Oreochromis niloticus: one gene and its partners. The protein of the gene in region 1 purifies or fractionates together with the protein of each later gene. This does not show direct contact. Links are inferred from orthologs where the notes say so. Each region holds a gene or a part of one and is shown in the gene's direction. Other genes may lie near its edges.

Region 1 (7,457 bases):
CTATGGATTTTAATGTTGCCACCAGTCAGCTTGTCTGACGTTTTAGCCAGGGTCTGTTTTAAGACTTGGGACATCAGCACCAGTTTACTACCAGGTGGTGCCATGTGGGTGTTCCTGGCTATCTTGGCTCTCTTCATGGCCCCTTCCACTAGAACACACAAACACACATGGGTGGTCAAAGAAAGGCACACAGTGAAGACCGTGAGGAAGGACTAATGCTAGATGATTTTACTAAACCTTGCTGAGCCCAAGCGAGCTTCTTGCCCGAATGGAGACAGGCCGTTATTCCAAAAGGATTCAGAGTGAGGCTGCGCTGGAGGCAGGAGAGGAGATTGTGCAGGGGGAAGGAGTGGGTGAGCGAGGAGTAGCCAGCTTGTGTTTGGAGTGGACCTTTGGTCAGCAGCCGGTGAATGGGCTGAACAGCCTTTCCTTGGCAAACTGAGCCCTCCAGAAGCAGACCTAAGCTCCGCACAGCGTCCAGGGATATCTGATAAAACATAACTGAGAGATCAGTTACAGTACAGACTTGTTTTTATATTTCAAATAGTATAAATGAATACAAGAGAAATTCTCTAATCAAAACTTTTAACATAATGAGTTTACTTTAACAGCTACAATTTGCTGTTAATGTTTTATTTACACTAGTAAAAGAAAAAATGTACAGCCATAAATCTAATTCATCTATCAGTTAAGACGGAAAGTACCTGCCAGGTGTGACGAATCAAATGCCAGACTGACCATCTCTATAAATGCAGAGGTTCTGACAGTTTTCTGCTAAGGAGCATTCAGCTGTGTGTTATTACAATGTCAAGGAGGAACAACACCAGCACTGATCTTAGAGAAGCACTTGTTGCTGTCTAAGTCGGGAAGGGCTAGGCTATTTATTATCATGCTGCAGTAAGAACAATTATTGACAAGTGAAAAACATTCAAGAAGAAGAATTTCACCCCAGTGTCAGACTGTGCAGTGCCCTAAGAAAAAGCAAAAAACCCAAGAGCTACATCTCAGAGTCCAGAGGCCTGACTTAGCATGTTAAACGTTAAAGTTGATAACAGTACAGTTAGAAAAAGAATGGAAGGACTGCTAGGAAAAAGCCTCATCTCTGCAAAAAACAAACAAAAAAACCCCATCAGAACAGCTTATGCACAGCACCATAACCAAATACAGCATATCAGCACATACATCTCATACCAGCTGTCAAGCAAAGCGGAGGAGGAGTGAAGATTTGGCCTTGTTTAACAGCAACAGGACATGGGCACTTTACAGTCACTGAGTCAACATCAACTCCTCTGTATACCAAAGTATTCTAGAGTCAAACAGCAGCAAACAGCAGGATGGCTGAAAAGGAAAAGAATCAAACTGGGTTTTTTTAAGTCCAGACCTTAACCTGACTGAAATGCTACTAGAGGACCTTAAGAGAACTTTTGTGAATTAATGTAAACCTCAATAACCTGAAGCAACGTTGTACAGCTCCACAGTTTATCATCTACCTGAAACAAACTATTTTAAGTCTTCTCTCTTCCAGCCAACTTTCTTCTAATTGGGTGCCCTTCATGCACAGTGGGTTTGAACTGAAGGTGAGTAGCGCTCGATGCTCAGAGTGAGTGATGCATGCCTGTTGCAGAATTTTTTCTTTTGCATTAACTGAACTGTTCTGAAATCCTATGCTGTAAAGCATGCAGTAACCTGATGTGAAACTACACAGACATGTAACTATTAAAGTTCACATCACATTGACGCCCAGCATTGACTATCACTGAGGAGTTAGACACTGACATTTCTTTTTACACATTTATGGCTACCTCTTCTTCTGATAACAGTTTTCAAATTGGCTGGAAAAGAACAGATCAACTCAAAGACGAACTCCATCGCCAACTGGTGTTTTGGCAAAGAGATGCAGAGCAACACGGGCTAACCCGCACAAGCAGAAATGCTGGCAACAACATTTGACACTCATGTAGGCTCTGCACAGATTCAGTGCAGAAGTAGAAATCAAGCTTCAGATTACAATATTAGAGATATGTACTCTTAGAGACAAGATAATGATGCAAGAGAAGCAACAACTACCTGAAAGAGACTGATTAGCTCACAGGGATTGCTTCTACATATATATCTATAAGAATATATTTAAGAAAATACATTAAATATAATGGTATTTTAAATATTCTGGCTAGCACCAATTATTGTTAAAAATATCTAGATTGTGTCTGTGACCTAAAGCAGGATGTGTGCTTGCTGTTCCCAGACCTGGCAGTCTCTTAGGGCCTGTCCAGATTGCGACAGTTGACCAGGCTCCACTAGCAGCTCCAAAATCTCTGCCAGATGGCTTTGCACGAAGGACAGGTGAGCCTGATCATCCCAGTTCTGCAGAACAAAAACAGGAACAAAACTGGACTATAAGTGGTTAACTTCATATACACCACCATACAATAATTTGCACTAGATCTAATTAGAACTACACAATACTACAAATCCTGCTGCGTCATTGGTCATTCTGTTTTATCTTTCATGGCAAAGAGAACCTTGTTCTGATAGCTAGTCTTGGACTCTCTGTCTGATGGAGACGGGGAGCGAGTGCGATGGCTGGGCCACTCTTCACCAATCAGAGAGGTGCGCAGAGACACACGGTTCAGCTGCTGAATGTAGAGGAAAAGGAGGAACTGCAGAGTGTCCACAGACAACTGGTACACAAAGGAGAGGGAAAACACAGGTTATCTATCAATATGCAGCCGCTGTTCAAATCTGAGGGCAAGGTTACAATGGTATCAGTCCTTGGATTAAATATTTAAACGTTATTTAACCTTGTTCCTCTGCTGGTCCAGCTCACTTTTAGTAGAACACTGGGAAAGACACTCAGCCCACTCCAGCCTCTCCTCTGGTGTATGACCTATCAGCAGGTCAAAGGTCTCAAAGTAGAGCCACGCAAGGTCTTCTAGAAGCTGCAACTTTCCACAGGCAATATGCCTCCACATGGGCCAGCTCAGGATGGGGAAGCAGCCATCCCTTGTTCGCACGTAGATCGCCATCTTTCGAAGATAGTGTAGGCTTAGTTTGGAGGATGGTGCCACCTACAATGATAGTAGTTCATGTTATTTACAAGATTTACAGCTCTTGGCTGATATCATGGTGGGAGTATATTTACCTGTAGGGCACCAAGTAGGAAGGGTTCCATGCGTGGCCATATGCTCACGCCGTTTGCCTCCATGTCTGAAGAGTCAGAGTACAAAACCATGTGACATACACCGATAATTAATTACTTGAGTATTTGACACTGTAAGTACAATGCACTTTTCCAAACCTTTTAAATCACAATGACAGTGCAATTACTGGATTAAGATTATTAGCCACGAACCAGGGAAAGAGCTGGGGAGCATTAGCAGTTAAACTGGTCAAACTGGACAGTTACAATAACATTATGCTTTGTTATTTTGCACAGACTCAACCTCTGTCCACACTGTTGAGTTCACCATGTCACTCATACTCCGGCCACTTTAACTCTGTACACACACAACTGTGTATCAATTCAGATACAGCGCAGAATGTTCTGCCTTTACTCACTTTCTTTTAAAACTCATCGCATTTCATGAACCTTTTCATTGCTGTTTTTTTTTTAGTACAGCGACAACAGACCTAATCTTCAAAAATGACCGTTTAATTACAGGGTGAAAAATATCTTCCTGGCAACCAGGCTGCTTGTGCATCAACACTAGGCATCTAATTTCAAGTTTGACAAGCCAATCAAAACTAAGCTAACACAAATCCAGTAACACAGTAAATATATGCACAAAACTCACTTGTTTTTGCTGTGGCGCAACAAGAAAGGAAGCCAAATACCAGTAATACCAGGCGCACTGCTATTTGCTCATAAAGTTAACTCCAATATAAAAAAGTAGGGCTGGCCAGCTAGCTTAGCTCCAGTTAGCTAGCTGAGCTAGCACGCCTCTGGTGTCAGACTTTGTGTCCTCGTCCTGTTACTGGGATCTTCGGCCTGAATGAGAAAAGGACCGACAGGTCAAGGACTCATAGGTGAGTATACAGAGGAGGACGAGTGCAGTGGTTCCTGGTTAGCTGTCAGACGCACATCTGCCGTCCTTCCTATTTGGCGCCCTCCTCTCCACTCAGACTTCAGCAGACATCTGTTGCGCGCAGCTCGCGGGGGCGCGCTGCATCCTGCACTATGAGCATGGTGTCCGGGTTTTTTTATTCACCAAAATGTTCAGTTTTTTATTAGTTGTACTTATACATGTAACAAAAAACAAAAACAAAAAAACAAAACAAAACGTCGGTGCAAACAGTTATAACTGACAAGAAGGAGTTGAGAAGAACGACGTGAGCTGTCTCTTTAACGCTGGGCAGAGTTTTTCGGGAGAGGAGGATTTGCCGACATCCAGTGGGCGGGCTTTCTCTGACAGGAGGAAGAAGGCTTGTGGCTGACTGACTGGCAGCTGGGATCCGAGCTTTAAAAAGCCGGTTGTTCTTTGCTACCTCCGTGAGAAATCCTGAGATCTATGGCTGCTAAAGGGATGAACCTGTGTAACGTGTGCTGCCTGCTTCTTTATGCTACCACAGCGGTGCTTGCCGGGTAAGTGGTGTTCGCTCGGACAGCGGCGAAACAGCATCGCCAGCTGGTACACATGTTTCACTGTGATTGGTCTAGACCTGCTCTCCATGCGTGGAACAGTCTGACACAGGGCTAACTTGCTAATAAGTGCTTTTGTTCTCTTTTGCGCTTCACTGATTAAAAAGTGTATCCACCACTTGTAAGGGACGTGTTTTAAGTGACTACCTAGCCTAGTTAGCTTGGAGCTAGCCATTACGGTAGCTGAAGCTGCTGCATACTGTCTATGGAAGCCACACTGGCTTACCCCCCGGAGATTGTAGCTAACTCGGTGTTTTACAATCTAAAAGTAGCATCATTGCCATTTGATAACGGTTTCTCGTTTTTCTTCTACCTCTGTGCCTCATGTGTCTGCCTCATTTGTGTTATCTTCCTCTCTCCTGTAGGCGAGATTTCTATAAAATCTTGGGGGTGAGCAAGAGTGCATCAATCAGGGACATCAAGAAGGCCTACAGAAAGCTGGCTTTGCAGTTACACCCCGACAGAAACCAAGACGACCCGCAAGCCCAGGACAAGTTCGCAGACTTGGGGGCAGCCTATGAGGTAGATGTGTAGCCATTGTTGTGTACATGATGCTAGTGATATCCGCGATGAGCAACAATGAAATTGTTTTTGAGTTAAAAGACTGTTATATTTCCCCAGTATCAGCTGTGTTCGGTTACAGTAGTGTAGATTTAATCATATGTGAGTATAAAAGCGCCCAAGACGCCGATACAACTGTTTTATAAGGCTGAAATTTGGTTGTTGTTGGTAAGATCTCTGCGATTGGACGATTAGACCGTGTGGCTGAATCTGATTGGCTGTCAGGCAGCACAGCTGGTGTATTGAAAATTCAGACGTGGAAGAGTGGGAGTGGATTCAGATAAGCGCTGCAGGTGTTTCCGTGTCAAACGTTCACGTTTCTTTTAAAAACGGAAGGATGCCGCAGCGAGTTCACTGATTTGTAACACAAAACAGAAATTTGTTATTAATCGGGTTTTATTAGTCGAGGCGTGTCAATGGACATTTAAATGAATGACAATATAATAAAACGCAAGTATCGGTTTTGAAAATAATTGACAAGAGCTAGATAAATTCTTTTTAAGTTGTGTGTTTTTTGTTTTGTTTTGTTTTTTGTTTTGTTTTGTTTTGTTTTTTTAATTGTTATTATTGAGGTACCTCAGGCACAAAAAAGATACCTACTGAACTTTATGGTTCATTTTGTTATTTGTTTAAAGAAATCTAAAGTAGTGGTACAATATATAACAAATAAAAATATTTCAAAGCCAGAATTTAAAATGGGTTACTGATTGTAGAAACAGCAACATATCCAACATTCTTTGGTAGTCTCTTCAGATGTTCACCTTGAAGCTGAAAAGTTTAACTGGGACGTCCCCACTTGGATTTTTGCCTGTTGTTGCTGAATGAGGGAAAACAGCCCTTCTTCATTGGTTGAGGGTCTCACTTACTAGTTTCAAGTCCTGTTACAGCATAATCTTCATGTTGTAAATTATGCTCACTGTTAGAGTCAAGAAGATTATTTCTCGGTACAGTCTGATCTGCCTCTCACATATATCTAGTTTCAAAAAGGTTGACAAAAGAAATGAGGTTCAACTTGATGCTTAATGATGGGAGAGCATCTTTTATCTATAGTCTGTGATTGAAACAATGGGAGACAATGACGAGCTGATTAGCAGTAGCAACAGCCATTAGTGCTACTCCATGCAGATGAGAGCAGATTTTTTTTTCTTTTCTTTTGAAACGTTTGCTGTGAATTTCTAAAATCTAATCATTTTCTAAGAATGGAGCCATTGCTGCTTTTCTCAGGTGAAAGCACTTCTACAGCCTCAATGTAATTGCTGGCTGTTCCTTCTAATGGGTCACCTGTTTGTATTCTCATATTTGTATTTGAAAATCAAGAAAAAGTGTATATTTTATACGTAAGCGTTAAGATTGTTTTAGTAGTAACAGCTGACTGACTTTTCATTTCATTGTTTAATGAATCAAAATCAATTTCAAAAACTAACACAGCTTTGAAGAGCCCATCGATGTTTTTTTTTTTTTGTTTAATTTTTACATTGAATGATGACACTCCACACGTTGTATCAGCGGAGAGAACAAAGACTGCGGCTTGTGGCTGTTGGTGATTGACAGGTTGTTTGTTTGTAGGTCCTCTCAGATGAGGAGAAAAGGAAACAGTATGACATGTATGGAGAAGACGGGCTCAAAGAGGGTCACCACAGCTCTCACAGCGATATCTTCTCCAGGTTGGTTTCATGAGCTCAGCTGGATTTTATACCAAGTTCAGTTAAATGTATGTATAATGTCCACTCATGCTACTGTTCCTCCCTCTGTAGCTTCTTTGGTGACTTTGGGTTCATGTTTGGTGGCAACCGACAGCAACAGGACAGGAATATTCCCAGAGGAAATGACATAATACTGGACCTGGAGGTTACACTGGAAGAAGTGTACTCTGGGAACTTTGTGGAGGTGTGGAGAAACTCCTGGTTTCCAAACGAACAATCTTTAGCATCCTTTATTCACATTTTCAAGTTTGTTCCACAAAGAGGAGCTAGCTATAGTGTCACTTCGTTCAGTCATCAAAATGCAAGGCTTACCAATGAATCGTCTAATTTACTACCTGTAGATTTTCATGTTATCAACACGTATTTCCCCGCTGTATGCAGGTTGTACGTAACAAGCCTGTAGCTAAAGAAGCTCCTGGTAAAAGGAAGTGTAACTGCAGACAGGAAATGAGGACGACCCAGCTGGGACCTGGACGTTTCCAGATGACTCAGGAAATGGTGTGTGACGAGTGTCCCAATGTGAAGTAAGTCAGCTCCTGTTGTCATCATTGAAC
Region 2 (7,882 bases), on another chromosome or scaffold:
TCTGCTCAACCACCTAAGCAAAAGGTACCACTTTTCCAAAATTACAAACCTCATTTAACATTTTTGTACTACTTAATTTTTGCAGTAACCTTTAATATATTGGCATATTTGATGTGTACTTCTCAAGCAACTGAGCAAAAAGAAAGAAAGAAAGAAAGAAAGAAAGAAAGAAAGAAAGAAAGAAAGAAAGAAAGAAAGAAAGAAAGAAAGAAAGAAAGAAAGAAAGAAAGAAAGAAAGAAATTATAATAGGGCAGGAGTCTCAACTTATTACTGTAGAAAAGATATAGTCAAATGTTTTCACTTTTGAGGCCTTACTGCACCTATAACTCGAATCAGCATATCATTTGTTCTGATGTTAGTACTCTAGATTAACCTGTTAATGAAGCCGTAATATTGGGTAAATTTGTGTATTCGTGGTAAGAAAAAAAAAACTTTCAAACTCTGTTGTGGGCAAAGTCACTAAACCTTTGACAGCACTTTTGAACAGACTTGATTAGTGATTTAATGCATACAGTTTTTCTGTCCTGGAAACCACTGGCATGAACGTTAAGACTCCACTAAACATACCATGTGGTGGCTGGCAAACAGCACCATATGATAAAACCAACATCACACCTGCTGTTGCAAGTCACCATTTCTAATGGTCATGCACCCCTCGATTTTTGTAACCTGATGCATAGTGCCACCACTGCTGGGTTGAGGACACATTGTCACAGTTTTGCAATTTTTTAATGATGTATCAGTACAGAAGCTGAGAGTTGTTGCAACTGCTTAAAAAGATAGATTTTCTGGAAAAACAGGCACTGCCTTTAATTCTCCTTTACATGGTAGAAGTACTGCCTGAGCGGCAACACCTATTATTCAGGAGAATACTGCAGCTGCTACCTGCGCTATAATGGCGAACATAGATGGCTAAATGGATGCGATTGTGTCATGACCTTCTCAGCAGAGTGCAGAGTGACCAAAGCGGTGGGTATACTGTGGCCTTATGGTTCTCCTTCAATGCATTACTTATAGGATTCAAAATTACTGCTTAGTAGGGTACCAACATGGCTGCAAGACTGAAGTAACCACGATCATCTTCCACTCACTAATATTGTGTGATATGGCATAATAATGGGGCATGAGTGTTTTCACTCTATTGACTGGACAGGTTAAATAGATATATGTAATTAATCACACAGGTTTAACATTCCTTTAAAAACACCAGGTGAACTTACTGCGCTTTTTTTTATGTCGGCGCCTCACTTCCTCCTCTGAATCACTCCCCCCTCCACTTCCACTTTTTTCTGCTTCTTCCTCCTCTTCTACCTCTTCTCCATCGTCAATGAAGCCACGTAAATTCCCTTTCTCATCCTGGTCTTCTAGGTTATCCTCTTCTTCCTCTTCATCTGCTGAGAAATGACAGATGAGGGGTCCACATGCCATACAACTTCAACACACATTCCCAAAGTTAAAGAAATCAGATCTTACCATCTTCTTCCATAAATCTCTGGTTCTTCTTAGGTTTTAAGTCCTTCTCCTCAAACTCCTCCTCCGACTCTTCTGCCTCACTTTCAATAAAGTCCGACATGACTACTGTTCCTGAGAAAAAGTTTAAAATGCTGTTAATAAAAATGTCATCAATCGGGCAATATTGGGTTCTCTCAAAATTCTCCTGACAAAAGCCAAATACACACAAATTTTACACTATACTGGATAACACTGTGCTAGAATAAGAACTTTAAAGGTTGCTTAACGTCCCTTTAAACTATTAAATAATAATTTACATATGTCAATGTATTACCAAAGATGTTATAGCATCTCCTGTATTACATATAGATTATTCATCAGGTTATTACTGATTATTAATGAGTTTGTGATTAATATAACAATTTGATAGTAATGTATAATAGTGCTGTGCAGAAATTTTGATTCTTTACTTTCTTTCTCATTTCTTCATATTCTGTTAAAAAATTGTTGCAGTGATTTATTGAGAGAAATGTAAACATACATGGAAATATTTGATATGACCACCTTTATTCTTCAACACAGCCTTGACTCTCTTACCCAAGCTTTCTTGAAATTTCTTTAAGGAATAGTTTTCCAGGCTTTCTGAAGGACATTCAAAGCTTTTATTTGCATATTGGCTTCCTTTTGTTCTGTTGTCTGTCACGATGCTCACACATTGCTTCAACAACGTTGAGGTCCAGGCTCTGGGGATGCCAATCTATGACTGTTACCTGAATGTTGCTTCAGTGGGGAATCTGCATTGTTACTTAAAACATAATTGGAAATGCCTTTTAACCCTATGCCATAACCTTCCACGTAACCTGACTTTCACCTTCCAAGAAATGTAGCTACATGTCAGCTTGATGCAGCCCGCAATTATCACGGGCACAGAAGGCTGCAATGCGGGTTAAGAGGGGTTTTTGACATAGTTATGACATAGATTTCCTGCAGAAATCTAAAGTTGATTTAGACTTCTCTGTGAAATCTACGGAAACCCCTTTTAACCCTATGCTATAATATTCCACATAATCTGACTTACACCCCCTGAGAAATGTTACTACACGTCGAGTTCGATGCAGCCAGCAGCTATTGTGATTGTCAGTTCGATTCCGGCTACTTTTTCGCCGCACTTTTAAAAAAGATTATCAGTGAAAGAAATAACAATAATTGCCACAGTATAAAGAATAAAAATCAGTATAAATATAAGGTCTCACAAATGTCAGCAGATTTCTGGAGGGAGATTGCTAAAACTACCTAAATGGACGTGATGGAATATACGAAGAAGTGGAAAAACCTGAGACACACATGTGTGCGTCTGAAGAAAAAAAATTAAAGAAAAAAAGACCACAACAAAGGGTGGGGACCCAGAAGGTAAAAAACAAGTCCCAGTATTTTATTTTATTTTTCTACAGGCCTGCACCACGCAAGAAACACTACACGTTAATTAACATGTAACTACAGACAAGCATAAATGTGGGCAACAACATCAGACGCTTATGTGGGTTATGTCGTAGGCTTCACAAAGGCCACCTCTCTAAACCTGGCATGACAGAGTTCCACTGTGTGTTTTTCTATCCAGGTATGTTTTTACTGAATTGGCCGTGTGTTTTGAAATCATTGTCATTCTGAAAAATTAAAAATCACATGCTTTTCTGATGATTTAGCTGATGTTTCAGCTAACCTGGCATTAATTTTCTGTAATCATAATTCGATCCATTTTGACAAGATCCCCAACAACACTGGCTGAAATGTAACCCCAAACCCTGACAGAGCTTCCACTGTGTTTTATAGATGGCTGTAGAGACGCACTGTTGTACCCCTCTCCTGACCTCCACCATTCATCTAGATATCTTTATATATATTTTAATTTGAACAAAAAAAAAATCTAATTTTGATTGATCACATCATAATCCCTACCGTCACTGATTTTTAGTCCAGTTTTATGTACTTCAGCATTCTACTGAGACAATTTCTGATGATGCTTTGGCATCATCTGAAGGTCCAGATGCATTTCTCATATCCTGTGTCAAGTGTTTGATGATTTTTCTTCTTACTTCTTGAAGACATGTCTTCCAGATATTGTTTATCTGTCCTCAACTATTTATGAATATACTACACACCATGCTGAGCTATGTGAAGTATAAAGAAATGAGGACTTAGCTGCAGACTTCCACACAAAAGCGAAAGATTACACCTGAAAACGATGCCTTTTGAGAGCTTCATAAAAAATATGTGTTATGTTGACAAACAACGCCTAACGTTAACAGAGACAAAGGGTATACTTTTAGTCAACCCTCTGAATGATTTTTTTCCTCTAGCACTGTGTTATAATGCCAGAAAGACTTAACAAGCGGGCTTTAACAATGACTTCACCTAGTCATGTCGCAATGCGTACACACACACACACACGCACACATACAAAACACTGGTCGTGATTACAGGACAAACAGCATACTTGCTTTAAATATAACGGTAGAGTAAGTAATCCGGGTGAAATCTTCAAGTTAAAGAAGTAAAAGGCTGTTGTATAAACACTTTTTGTTAATAACGGTAGCTAAAGCTAACGTCTTCGCTAGCAACGAACGAGGCTAAACGACTATTAGCAATGCTAATAAACTAGAAAGGAACATTGCAGCTAGTACAACGGTGGCACGTTGTTGCTTTGAAACGTGTTAGCAATAAAAGGCCGTTTTACCTAAAGTAAATTCACCATTGCATAAATTAACCAAGGCCTCCAAACCAACTTCGCAGTTTAACGCTGGCTAGTTAACGCTTTAGCATATCGATGTGTTAGCCTGGCATTAGCTGGGAAGACAACAACAGCCATCAGCATTGGTACTAACTACTTGAAAAAGAAGACATCGCAGTGAAGACATAGCAGATAATCATGCTAAAAGACACTGACTTACACGTCTCAGTGGGGTAGCGTACTCCGAAGATATTAACGGTAACAACTCAGTTGTATTGTATGTTATATTTCGGAGCTTGCACTTGTAAAAATGGCCGAGAACGAGCAGCGTGATGACAATTCCGGGATGCAGTAAGGGAACTTCCAACCTCTTCCGATGCAAGGTAACGCCCCCTGCGGTTTACCTCGATTCTATACAAGCATAAACAACTAAAATAACACAATAACACAATAGCACAATGACATCTTTTACTATCGTTAAGGTATTTTTCCTAGTATAAATATAATTTGAAATATAGCGCAGAGATGCCAAAAAATACGCTTAAATAACCCCAAAACCAAATAGGACCGTGCAGTTGCCGTTCCGAGCCGCTAGAGGCGCTGTCTCCTGAACTCAACACTGGCTTACTGTACGTTTTTAATGACGTAGCGAAAAATAATGAAAATCTCTGAGAAGGATCAGCGGCTGGATGTGCTTGGCTTTTTTACAAAGAAGGAATGGGTAAATTAAACTGTGATAGTATGCCACGCTTTCTACAGGCCATTTTGTTATTGCTTTCCTGTGTGTTTGGACTCTCCCTTGGCACGGAACTGAGCTTTGTGACCTGCGGATCAGTCATTAAACTGTTGAATTTAAAGCACAACGTGAGACTACACTCGCACGACGTACGCTACGGGTCCGGTAAGTTTGCTGTCAAAACTAATCTTTTCATTCATAAACACTCGTGTTTTTCAGTTAACAATAACTACAGTTATTTTCCTTCATGACTAAGTTTGCATTGGTGGATAAAAAATACAATTCTGACTTTTTAATGTTCAGCCATTAACTGTGTCAGTGTGAGTTTGTCATAATGTTCAACTTAACTCCATCATGTTTGCAGTTAAATGTGACACGTTTTAGGAGGTCAGCTCAATTTCTAAGGTTTGCTGGAGAGACAAATAAACACGTTCATGTGCACAACCACAGTTAGGACACAGTTAAGACTGTTTCTGTTTCTGTTGTGGTCTTTTATTGAAAGACAGAAGAAGCGAAGGTGAAATCACATCTCCAACACAACTCCCTCTAAGTCAGCTGCATAAACTGTGTTTACACTGATTCTTTCCATCTGTACTAGCTGTCAGAGCAAGAACCCAGGGTGGTGTTAAATATGTGCAAGTACTAGTCAGCGATAGAGGTTTTATAACAACTCCATAAACTCTGAGTATAGATGCAAATGACACCTGTACACAGTAAAATGGCCTTGCAATGAGAATCAGCGCCTCTGAGTCTGAGGCCTTGATCCTCAGCTGAAAAAGATTGGAAGGCACACTCCCGGCCAGGAAGTGGAGATGTTTAAGTATCTTGGGGTCTTGTTTACAAGTGAGGGGGGAGATTGCTGGAGATTGGCTCCCGTGGTACCAGTCCATTGTAATGAAGTGAGAGCTGAGTGTAAAAGCGAACCTGTCGATTTACCAGTGAATCTTCATCTCTACTCTCACCAGCAGTCATGAGCTCTGGGTAGGGGTCTTCACAGCAGATCATCTGCCACCCTGTCACTCTTTTTTCCTCTGTAAGAAACTCTCTGCATTCCTTTTGTCTCCATTGAATACCTCCACCTCTACTGTTTCCTATTAGAGTACCTGCATGTTTTAATCCTAATATCAGCATTTGGCACTGGTGTATGCAATAATGCGTCACAAAAGGAAATAACAAGATAAGAAAACAAGATCAGAAAACTCTAGTTATAACATTGTTTCCCCACACTGACTTGTAGTTGTACGCAAGCATATGGAATTGCTGTTTGCCAAAAACCGATCAATAAAGCAAACCTAACCTTCATCACATACACAAAGTTCATAAGTTACACAGAGGACTGGTTTTAAATCACAATCTTCTATACTAGATGAAATTTGATTTTTTTATTTTAACTGTCTCTCATATCTTTAACAATCCTCTGCTGACTGTGTCTCTGAGGCAGGTAGTGGACAGCAGTCTGTAACAGGGGTTTCTGCAGTAGAAGACAGCAACAGCTATTGGAGTGTTCGAGGGACCAGTGATGCCTTGTGCCATAGAGGTACCCCAGTTAAGTGTGGGCAGACGATTCGCCTCACTCATGTCAACACAGGACGTAACCTCCATAGCCACTACTTCGCCTCCCCGCTGTCATCTAACCAGGTGGGTGGTGCGAGAAGTACAAGGGAAAAGCTGAGAGCTTTGGGGCTTTGTGTGGGATTTACCAGGTTTCTCTTTGCAAAAATTGGGGAAGGATGTCAGTGTGTAGAAGATGGATTTTATTTTTTTTTCTTCTTAATCAAAAAAGCTGATTATAAGTTTAGGAATTAGGAAGATTAGGAAAAACACTGAAGCAATAAACAGCTGTAACATTTATTAATGTGCAGTCTTGTGTAAACACACACAGACACACAAAAACAGGGTGCCTTTCACTTTTATTCAAAACTAAACCAACATTTTTGCAGTGAACCTGAGTTGACAGCAGCTTTTATACTTAACAAACTCTCTGGGAAAACAGCCTCAGGTCAGCATAAAACTCTCAAATCCTGAGAAAGTGTGAGAACACTGTCTGACCAAAGTGTCAGAGGGTTGGAAGATGCGTACCTTAGGAAAACAGAAATTTTAGTTTATATTTCTGCTCAGGTAGCTGTTGCTCTACTGCAGACATGTGAAACCCATTTTATATTGTGGGCCACGTACAGCCCACTTTGATCTTAAGCGGGCTGGAGCAGTGAAACTCTCCTTTCTAAAAAACTAAACATTTAATATCTGAGATATTAAAATATAATAAAAGGAAGTGCAATTACAACTGTACATCCTATTTTTTCTACATGATAAAGAAATGCTGAAATTGTAAGAAATAATTGGGTGGAACAATATATAACCTCCACACACTGTCCAGCTCATCATAATTTTTTATTGACTTACAACATTTCAGTCTGTGTGACCTTCATCATGTACAAAAAAAAAAAAGTTTCCTGGCTAGACATCTCACACTGCGTACTATCAATCAGGTAATGAATGAGTCCACTCGAAACTTCAACACAATCTTCAAAAAGCCAAATAACATTTAACATCACCACCTGATTCGAAAACCGGACCGTCTGTGTCTCCTATTCTGAAATGATCACTTAAATTCATAAATTACCTCAATTATAAAACCAGTTTACAACAAATATTCATACTTTGGACAAATCAGTGATACCAACATCCCAATATTAACAAATCACATCTCAAAACAACTCTAATTAAAAAAAAATATGAAAAAACTACATTGAGTACAAGTTCTGCAAGTTCTTTTCTCTTCAGTAAGAAATCATGGTATCCCCAGGTGGTGCTGGCACATGCTCAATGCCACAAAATTGTAAAAAGATGCTATATCATGTTACATATTATTAAAATGGGCTGCTATCGAATAATATTTATGAAAGTGGCAAATCGCATTTGCCACTCATGTTTTCTTGGCCAATAAATATCTGGGTGTGTTAGA
Region 3 (7,521 bases), on another chromosome or scaffold:
TGGCGGTATCCTCGTACACTGGGGAGTAAACTGCCATTAAACGAACAGAAGAAGAAGAAAACATCTGCACATGCGCGGTACGGATCGGGTAGACCCGATTTGTACGGTCGGACTGTGCACATGCGCAGTAAGGATCGGGGAGTCCTGATCCGTAACTATCTTTTTATTTTTCGTTTTTGTCTACATTGTACTGAAATGCTTCATCATTGGAAACATTTTAAGAGATACTTATTATTCTTAACATCTTAACAGATACTCTGACCCGTAACTATCGTAAAACGCTACGACCGGAAGTAGACACTTTTCCCGCATGCGGGGTACCGATCGGGTTTCCGGTACGGATTGGGTAGTGACAGTGGCTGCAGCCAGACCCTTCTCAAATATCCCGCTTGTGGAGGCTGCCATCTTGCAAATTTGGAGCCAGAGTCTGCGCAGTAGTGACTTGAGGTGGAGCGACTGTGTAACGCTCCCGCCCACACACCCGCTGGACATGACCGCAAACACGCCCCTCTACACTTTTTACGTATCCCGGCTGCTCGAGTTTTTTTGCTGGTTTACCGCGACTGACGACTCCTTTAATTAAGGTAAATACAACCATATCACTGTTATAAAAAAAGACGCACAGCTTATCATCTTATAGTTCTAAAATCACTCTGTTGTTAATTCGTTTGCTAGATTAGCCGCTAGCATACGCGCTGTGTTGGAGGCTTGTTGCTAGCTAGTTAGCAATGCTACACACCTGCTACTCTAATAGTCTGTGTTATTGAAGGATTCAGCACTTCTTATGTTTGTTTTTATCCATTTTTAGACAGCGATGAGATCATCTGCACACTCTATAGAAGCCCAGAGTTACTGTTAATATCCAAAATATAATGCTGTCCTTTGAGATTTTAACATAAGACTGAGTGTAATGGATCTAAAACTGTTTAAATCTTCAGAGCCCTCTACAGCCTGGTAACATGGAGACTTTAAAAACATCAGCAGAAGGTTTCAGTATTGTAGTCTAATTTGTCCTTTTCATTTAATAATAGAGTCCATATTATATCAACAGCTACATTCACCCTGGAGAGAAACTAGTGAGGGAGACCACCAGGACCAAGCTGGGTTTCCTGGGTCCAGAGGTTTGGAGAAACTTCTTCCTTTTCTTTCATCGCAGCTGTCCTGTGCCAGAAGTTCTGTTGACCCACTGAAAGAGGCGTCATTTAAGAAACACCAGGAAGACTGAAGCTCATCGCATAGATCAAGCAGGACTCATGATCTTCACCAGCAGCTCCCTCACAGGGAAATCTTCAGCACTCCTCCGTAGGCCCGATCCAGGAGATGGATAAACCCAGCATTTCATGAACACTGTGATGGAGATCTTTGGTTTGTGTAATGTTATAAATACTCGGATACTCCCCAGAGGCTCCAGACTTTTACATAAAGATATTATATTCAGTCCTGTAGAAAGTTATATATTTAAAAATATATGATCCTCTGTGGTTACTCTGGTATGAATAACTCTGAATCACTTATAGTAAATAACACACTATCTGCAAAAAACTGTGAAAGAATTCCAGATGACAAGTTTGTAGTTCAACATACAAGTGATGACCTATGACCTTCATCAGGTTTTATTTAATTGTGCCAGAGAAAATCTCATATGCTCTTCATGCAGCTGAGTACATCAAGTGTTTAAAACGGAAGCTGTGCAGGTCTGAGATCAGCAGCTTTGTGAAACACCAAACTGAGGTCCTGTTAATGCTGATATATAGTGACACTGTTACATGAGTGATTAATCCTTTTGTTTTTTTTGTCTTTAACTTTATCAATAAAGCTGCAGCTTTCACTACAGCACGTGTGGTACTTTAACCTTTGTACTGTTTTCATCAGTTCATTTTGCAGTTAACATGTTGGATGATCTGTCTGCTGTCACTGGGTGGTGCTGAGGTCTGAATCTGAGGGCAGCCCCTGTAATCACAAAGAGAACAGAACCATCAAACTCAGATATAAATTTTATCCCTCAAAATTGAAATGAAGCTGATTCTTCTGTCCTCACACACTCAGGATCTGAAGTTCTTCTCTTACATTTTTTTCAGTATTACAGTACACTACAGTACTTTAATCCATAGTTCCTGATTAATGAGGAGTTACTGAAGTACAAGCTTTTAAAAAAAATGTTACTGTCTTTACAGATGTGGCAAGAGACTGAAAACATGCTGCTGTTTGCATATATTTAATATTCAGTTCTGCACAGGAGCTGCAGCAGGGTGCAGCCTGTTGCTTTTACAGTATAATACTTGTAATAAAAGTACAGTAACAGTAATTAGTGACTGAGTAGCCCGGAACGTTTCTCTTGATTTCTTTAGTAAATTCATTCACCTGCACAGATTAGCTAAACGAACCCTGACAGCCGAGTGCTCATTTTAGCTAGCTAGGTCATAGCTAAGGACAGTAGTTACGGATTAGCTTACAAACACGATTAACTTACCGAAAAAGTGCCCTCCTCTCAGAGCCTACGCTCTATCTGCTATTCCCGAACAGAGATACGCAAGTTTCTCCGTGACTGCAGCTGCCAGTCAAAGCTGTTATGATGACGTTTCACCCCAATTTAACATCACCGCGGTAGGAATTAGAATCAAACTTATGGGAAAGGAGACCCCTTGGACATCAATCAGCATGATGAGAACTATTGATAACAAAAGAAAGAATCTTTGGAAAAAAAATATCTAAGGAGAATAAATTTATTTTAGTCTGATCCCAGTCCCATCCGCTAACATGGAGGAGGCGGGGTTTATGACCTATACTGCAGCCAGACACCAGGGGGCGATAGAGACGTTTTGGCTTCATTTTTGGGGAGCTGTGGCGTCGTCCATGTTTTCTACAGTCAATGAACTGGAGCCTCATCGTCTCGTCTCTCTATATACTGGACTGTATGTAGCGGAGATGACAATAAAGTTTACTTTGATTTCAGCAGCGAGCAGGCGCACCGAGGGCTCTCGCGCTCACTTTTCGTGTATGGAATTTCGAAAAAACATGGGTGCAAATTATAAGTCTGCATCATGATGTCTGGTGTTTTCGTGTTTGTTGGTTTGTTTTTATTTTATTTTATTTTGCGAGTTGGTTATTAGATGCTGCTCCAGCCAGCCAGAGAATCCCCCGCCGCCCCGCCCTCTCCTCCCTGTGCCGCAAGCAGCAGGTTCACCTCGCAAACGGAGGGCGCCCTTACTCCCAGCAAATGGGCGATAGAAAACTGATCGGTGCCTATGCCATTCCCAATATGCGCTGGCTGCCGTCGGGGCAGCATGAGTACGAGCATTTTTTTTTTTTTTTTTGCCGATGCCCGTGATGCCGCCCCCCATCACGATGCCGCCCCGGGCAACCGCCCGTATCTAAAACCGCTACTGAGTGAAGTAGCTGTCAAAGTTCCTACAAACCATTCTTTTTTAGCATAAGATAGACAAAATAGCGGCTTGCTTCGGGCTCTGAGCATCGTCACATAACAAAGAGCGTTTCACGCATCATGTGACTTTTCCTCAGCACATGGTGATCCTTATGAGTCCTAATATCTGATCCTACTAATGAGTCAGCGACATTATGAGATGGTGATTAAAAATCTATAAAAACAAAACGCAAACAAAATACCGCACTGTTGCAGAACGTAATTAATGCTGCAGAAAATCATCAGTCTGATAGTTTAATGCACAGAACAGTAAAATAAACATTTTAATTCCAGTGACTCATTTTTAATGGGATGTTTTTATGCTTGCCTTGTGTAAAAGTCACCGCACACCACTCATGTAACGTATAATTCTGTTTAAAAAACAAAGATGGCCTGTGTGATGATTAACAGGCAGAGTCAATCAATCTGCAGGAAAAACATTTATTTGAGTCAAATACTAAAATACAGTAAATCCATATAGGTATGTTTTAGGGATTTTGGGGATTTTAGGGATTTTAGGATTTAGGATTTTAGGATAGTTTAAATTTCACTATTGGCAGTTTATGAGATTACATTTGATGGTTTTATACGTCTTTTACTTTGCACGTCTTCTCCCAGACACTTTGTGAGTCGATCTTATGTAAAAATAAACCCAAAGGAGACAGAACCTCTGTTCTGATTCTATCTATTCTTTTCTCCTACATTTAATTATATTCTTTTCTTTGCTATTTTGTTTATCCTTCTGTCCCACTCTCACCTTTTCCTCTCTCACTCTTTGTGTGTGCATGTGTTAGAATCGAAGAATATTCCACCAGTGACCATTGCCAAGATCTTCATAATGATCGGGTATATTACATTCAGTGTGTTTTTGGATCAAATTAAGTATTGCCCAGTTCTCAGAGGGCAACTGGATTCTATCAATACAAAGTGACAATAACTATGTTATTTAAAAGTTTCAGAAAGGCCAGAAGAGAGATCAGAGACTGACAGCTGACTATCAATGATGGCAGCATAATGATTCAGTGCACTGGCATGAACATAAGTGCCCTTTCTTGGTAAAGACAATATATAATTAAAACATATTTTTTCTCTGTCTATATGTATAGAAATTTGCTTCTAAATTACATCACATAAACACATCTATACTAGACAGGTTACTGTGTATGTTAAATTGTACATGTGGTGGGTGCCATGTGTGTCCTTTGTCCCATCTTCCTCCGCTCTCTTCTCCCTTCCCCTCACTCCCAACTGGTAACAGGTGATAGCTATCTGGAGGAACAGCCTTTGCGGTCAGTGACGGCCTGAAACATCACCAAATGCTATTTCATCTTTTGAGAAGATTTTTTCTATTTTACTGTTCACAGTATTCGTTAAGTAGATTTGATCTGAATCCATCTGCGTGGCAAAACCACATCTTATCTTGTCTGTTTCGGCTCATCTGAGTTCCCAGGACAGATGAGCCGAATGTACCAGGGTCCTCTACTCATCATCATCAGCATCATCAGAGGCACAGGCAGTTTAAACCGGGAATAACGTTGGAGGGGTGGAGCTGCTTCTGCATGACTCCTACTACTGTTTGGCGTTAACTGTTGTGACGACGCATATGCCTATTCTGACCAATCACGCGTTGACATTGTCTTCCGTATTTTAGGACTTGTCAAGTGGTGATTGGTGGAAAGCAGCACTACGGTTCGGAAGTGAGTGCCGGTCATGACAGCAGAGACACAAAGATGGAGGTGGTCGGTACAATCCGCGGGCTTATCAGGTCGCTGCTCTTCCTGCTGCTGTGGTCCAGCTGTGAAGGACGAGACTCGGAGCTCAGCTATGTGACCTGCGGCTCTCTAGTCAAACTGTTCAACACCAGACACAACGTCCGACTGCACTCCCACGACGTTAAGTACGGCTCAGGTAAGTGTTCAGAGAGCTGCCGGTGTACGGCCACAGCAGCTCTGAGGCGTCAGTATTGCGCTTACTCTGCTAGAAGAGCTCTGTAGAAGCCAACAAATAGCCGAAAATTCAACCCAGCACAACTTCCGACCACCTTTTTCTACGCTGTAGTTAAGAAGAGGTTCGCTCCATCGGTGCGTGTCTTCTCTGGGGGCGTGCTGCTTTTGTGCTATAAGCACAAAAATGAGAAATTGATATTCCCATCAGTGCAGTTTGGCATTATAGAGTCACCTGCTTTATAAGAGCATCCATTAAGTTAGTGAGTTTGGAGTCGTCCTCATCAAGCACCAGGGTTAGGCTGACTTTCACATTTGGTGGAGAGGCTATAAGGTTTGCATACTGTAACAGTCACTCACCGAAACTATGAAACTCACTTATGTTTCATATCGTCTGATCCTAGCAGATGTCCTTCCACGCTCTATGTGCGCACTCTGTTTCGGCCTCGTCCCTGAAAGTTGCTGGTTTGAAGGCGAGGTAATATTTGTTACATGTGTAGCCAGCCTGGGACAAGTGCACATCGTCAGCACATCCACTTTAGGCTCATGTGACGTCAAACTTTCTCACATAAGTCATTTTACAAGTGAATATAGCTGAAATCATAGAACAGCCTAGACTTTAACTGATGTCAAGGCAGCTTTTATGAGACTACTTGTTAGCTATAAAATTGGGACTTTGCTGTGGAGAGAAGCAGACTGGAAAATAGTTTAATAGTACAGGGTTGAATACATTATTGCTAATGTTCTGTCATTGTTGCTGTACTGCTGGCTGACAACAGAAACAAGAACAGCTTATAATAACAGATTGTTGTGATGAGTGCATACTGGACCGCAGGCATTGTCAGAACTGAATCAGAACCGAAACACTGCAGCTAAGCTGGTGGATGCAGTGCCTGTGTAAAATCTAGTGGCTCTGGATGAGAGGAGAGCTGACTGCTTGAAGCATAGACAGATTATCAGTGCTACCGGGAAATCGCCTGAGGTCTTGTTTTGAAGCCTTAGGGTGAGCATTCTAACTGACCTGCAACACCCACATAATCTTCATAGGCATGTTGATGTTCTGTCACAGTTGTTGCAAATGTGAACTGGCATTCTTCTTCTTTTGCCACTCTTCAGTTGGAGACATGATAAATATACCTGTATACCAAAGTGCAACAGGGTGCAGGGTGGGCAACAAATTTTCCCATGGGGCCACATGAAGAAGCCGTGGTGCACCATTAAGCTTATAAAGAGAATAAATGAATATTATGCAAAACTGAGCTAGGTTTATCCTTTTAAATTGGTTCATGGACAGCTGTGAGAGCCTCCTCTAGTTCCCCTGTGACATTTTGCATAGAGCACAGATTTTGACAGTCTGGAAAAATAACTACATGAGGGAACAACATACCTGTCTATTGGTGGAACATGCATTTTTAAGATTACAATTCAGTTTCAGATGCACATGCAGCTCTGCTTGCACTGACATCTCTTTTGGGTCTCACATTTAAATGACAAAATCAACACTCTGAATTCAGATTTCGATATTATGTCTGCTTTATTTGTTATGGAATGACAGTTGAACAGGCCTCACCCAGCTATCAGACTACTTGTCAGTCAATTGTCTGTTAATTTTTTGAACCTCTGAAATGGGACATGTGTATAAAGATGACTGTGGTTTTTGTAAAGCTGCTTAAATTAAATGCAGTGTTCTACCGGTATATTTGTCCCACAAAATATGGACCAAACTGTCCCACCTGTAATAGTGGGAAAGGCAGGGCACACCCGGACAGGTCACTAGTCTGTACACAGAGCAGTGGAGAACATTCAGACTCCACACTGAATCTAACTGTAGTCAGAACATTATAAGTTTGACAGGCTGCATCACAGAATAGAATATTTATTGAGCTTAACATAAAGGCCAATTGGCTCCAGATATTAAGCCCACAGTTACAAATCTGGGCTTTATATTGGACGGTGATTGTAAACTGGACAGACAAATTGGTGTAGCATCTTTCATTTAAGAAAAACAGGTAAAGGTAAAACCTATTCTCTGCAGGCAGCATTTGGAGACGGTAAAACATGCCCACCCCTTCTTTATTGTGACTTTTAGTTTGAAGAAGCTGGAGAAAATGCAGCATCATACACAAAGTTTACATCCTGTCCACTGTTGCAAGCTGG

Evidence for each region. Proteins that work in one complex are often made in the same cells at the same time.
Region 2: the proteins of dnajb11 (region 1) and sdf2 purify together in Homo sapiens (affinity purification with mass spectrometry; 3 studies listed by BioGRID and IntAct, counting the BioPlex papers as one, with this or other methods). This does not show direct contact. The link is inferred for Oreochromis niloticus from reciprocal best matches to the Homo sapiens genes DNAJB11 and SDF2.
Region 3: the proteins of dnajb11 (region 1) and sdf2l1 purify together in Homo sapiens (affinity purification with mass spectrometry; 3 studies listed by BioGRID and IntAct, counting the BioPlex papers as one, with this or other methods). This does not show direct contact. The link is inferred for Oreochromis niloticus from reciprocal best matches to the Homo sapiens genes DNAJB11 and SDF2L1.

What each region holds. Positions count from the first base shown.
Region 1 is NC_031987.2:32,688,069-32,695,525, reverse strand, and holds the start of dnajb11 (dnaJ homolog subfamily B member 11), read left to right. Parts: upstream 1-4,364; 5' UTR 4,365-4,508; coding exon 4,509-4,582; intron 4,583-5,004; coding exon 5,005-5,161; intron 5,162-6,766; coding exon 6,767-6,864; intron 6,865-6,954; coding exon 6,955-7,087; intron 7,088-7,284; coding exon 7,285-7,427; intron 7,428-7,457. Other genes in the region: tbccd1 (TBCC domain-containing protein 1), read right to left, coding at 1-148, 238-487, 2,248-2,364, 2,523-2,681, 2,802-3,068, 3,143-3,205. UniProt on the Homo sapiens protein: As a co-chaperone for HSPA5 it is required for proper folding, trafficking or degradation of proteins.
Region 2 is NC_031975.2:17,383,105-17,390,986, forward strand, and holds the start of sdf2 (stromal cell-derived factor 2), read left to right. Parts: upstream 1-4,799; 5' UTR 4,800-4,898; coding exon 4,899-5,082; intron 5,083-6,358; coding exon 6,359-6,555; intron 6,556-7,882. Other genes in the region: supt6h (transcription elongation factor SPT6), read right to left, coding at 1,222-1,395, 1,475-1,574.
Region 3 is NC_031977.2:3,585,280-3,592,800, forward strand, and holds the start of sdf2l1 (stromal cell-derived factor 2-like protein 1), read left to right. Parts: upstream 1-4,438; 5' UTR 4,439-4,453; coding exon 4,454-4,476; intron 4,477-5,072; coding exon 5,073-5,329; intron 5,330-7,521.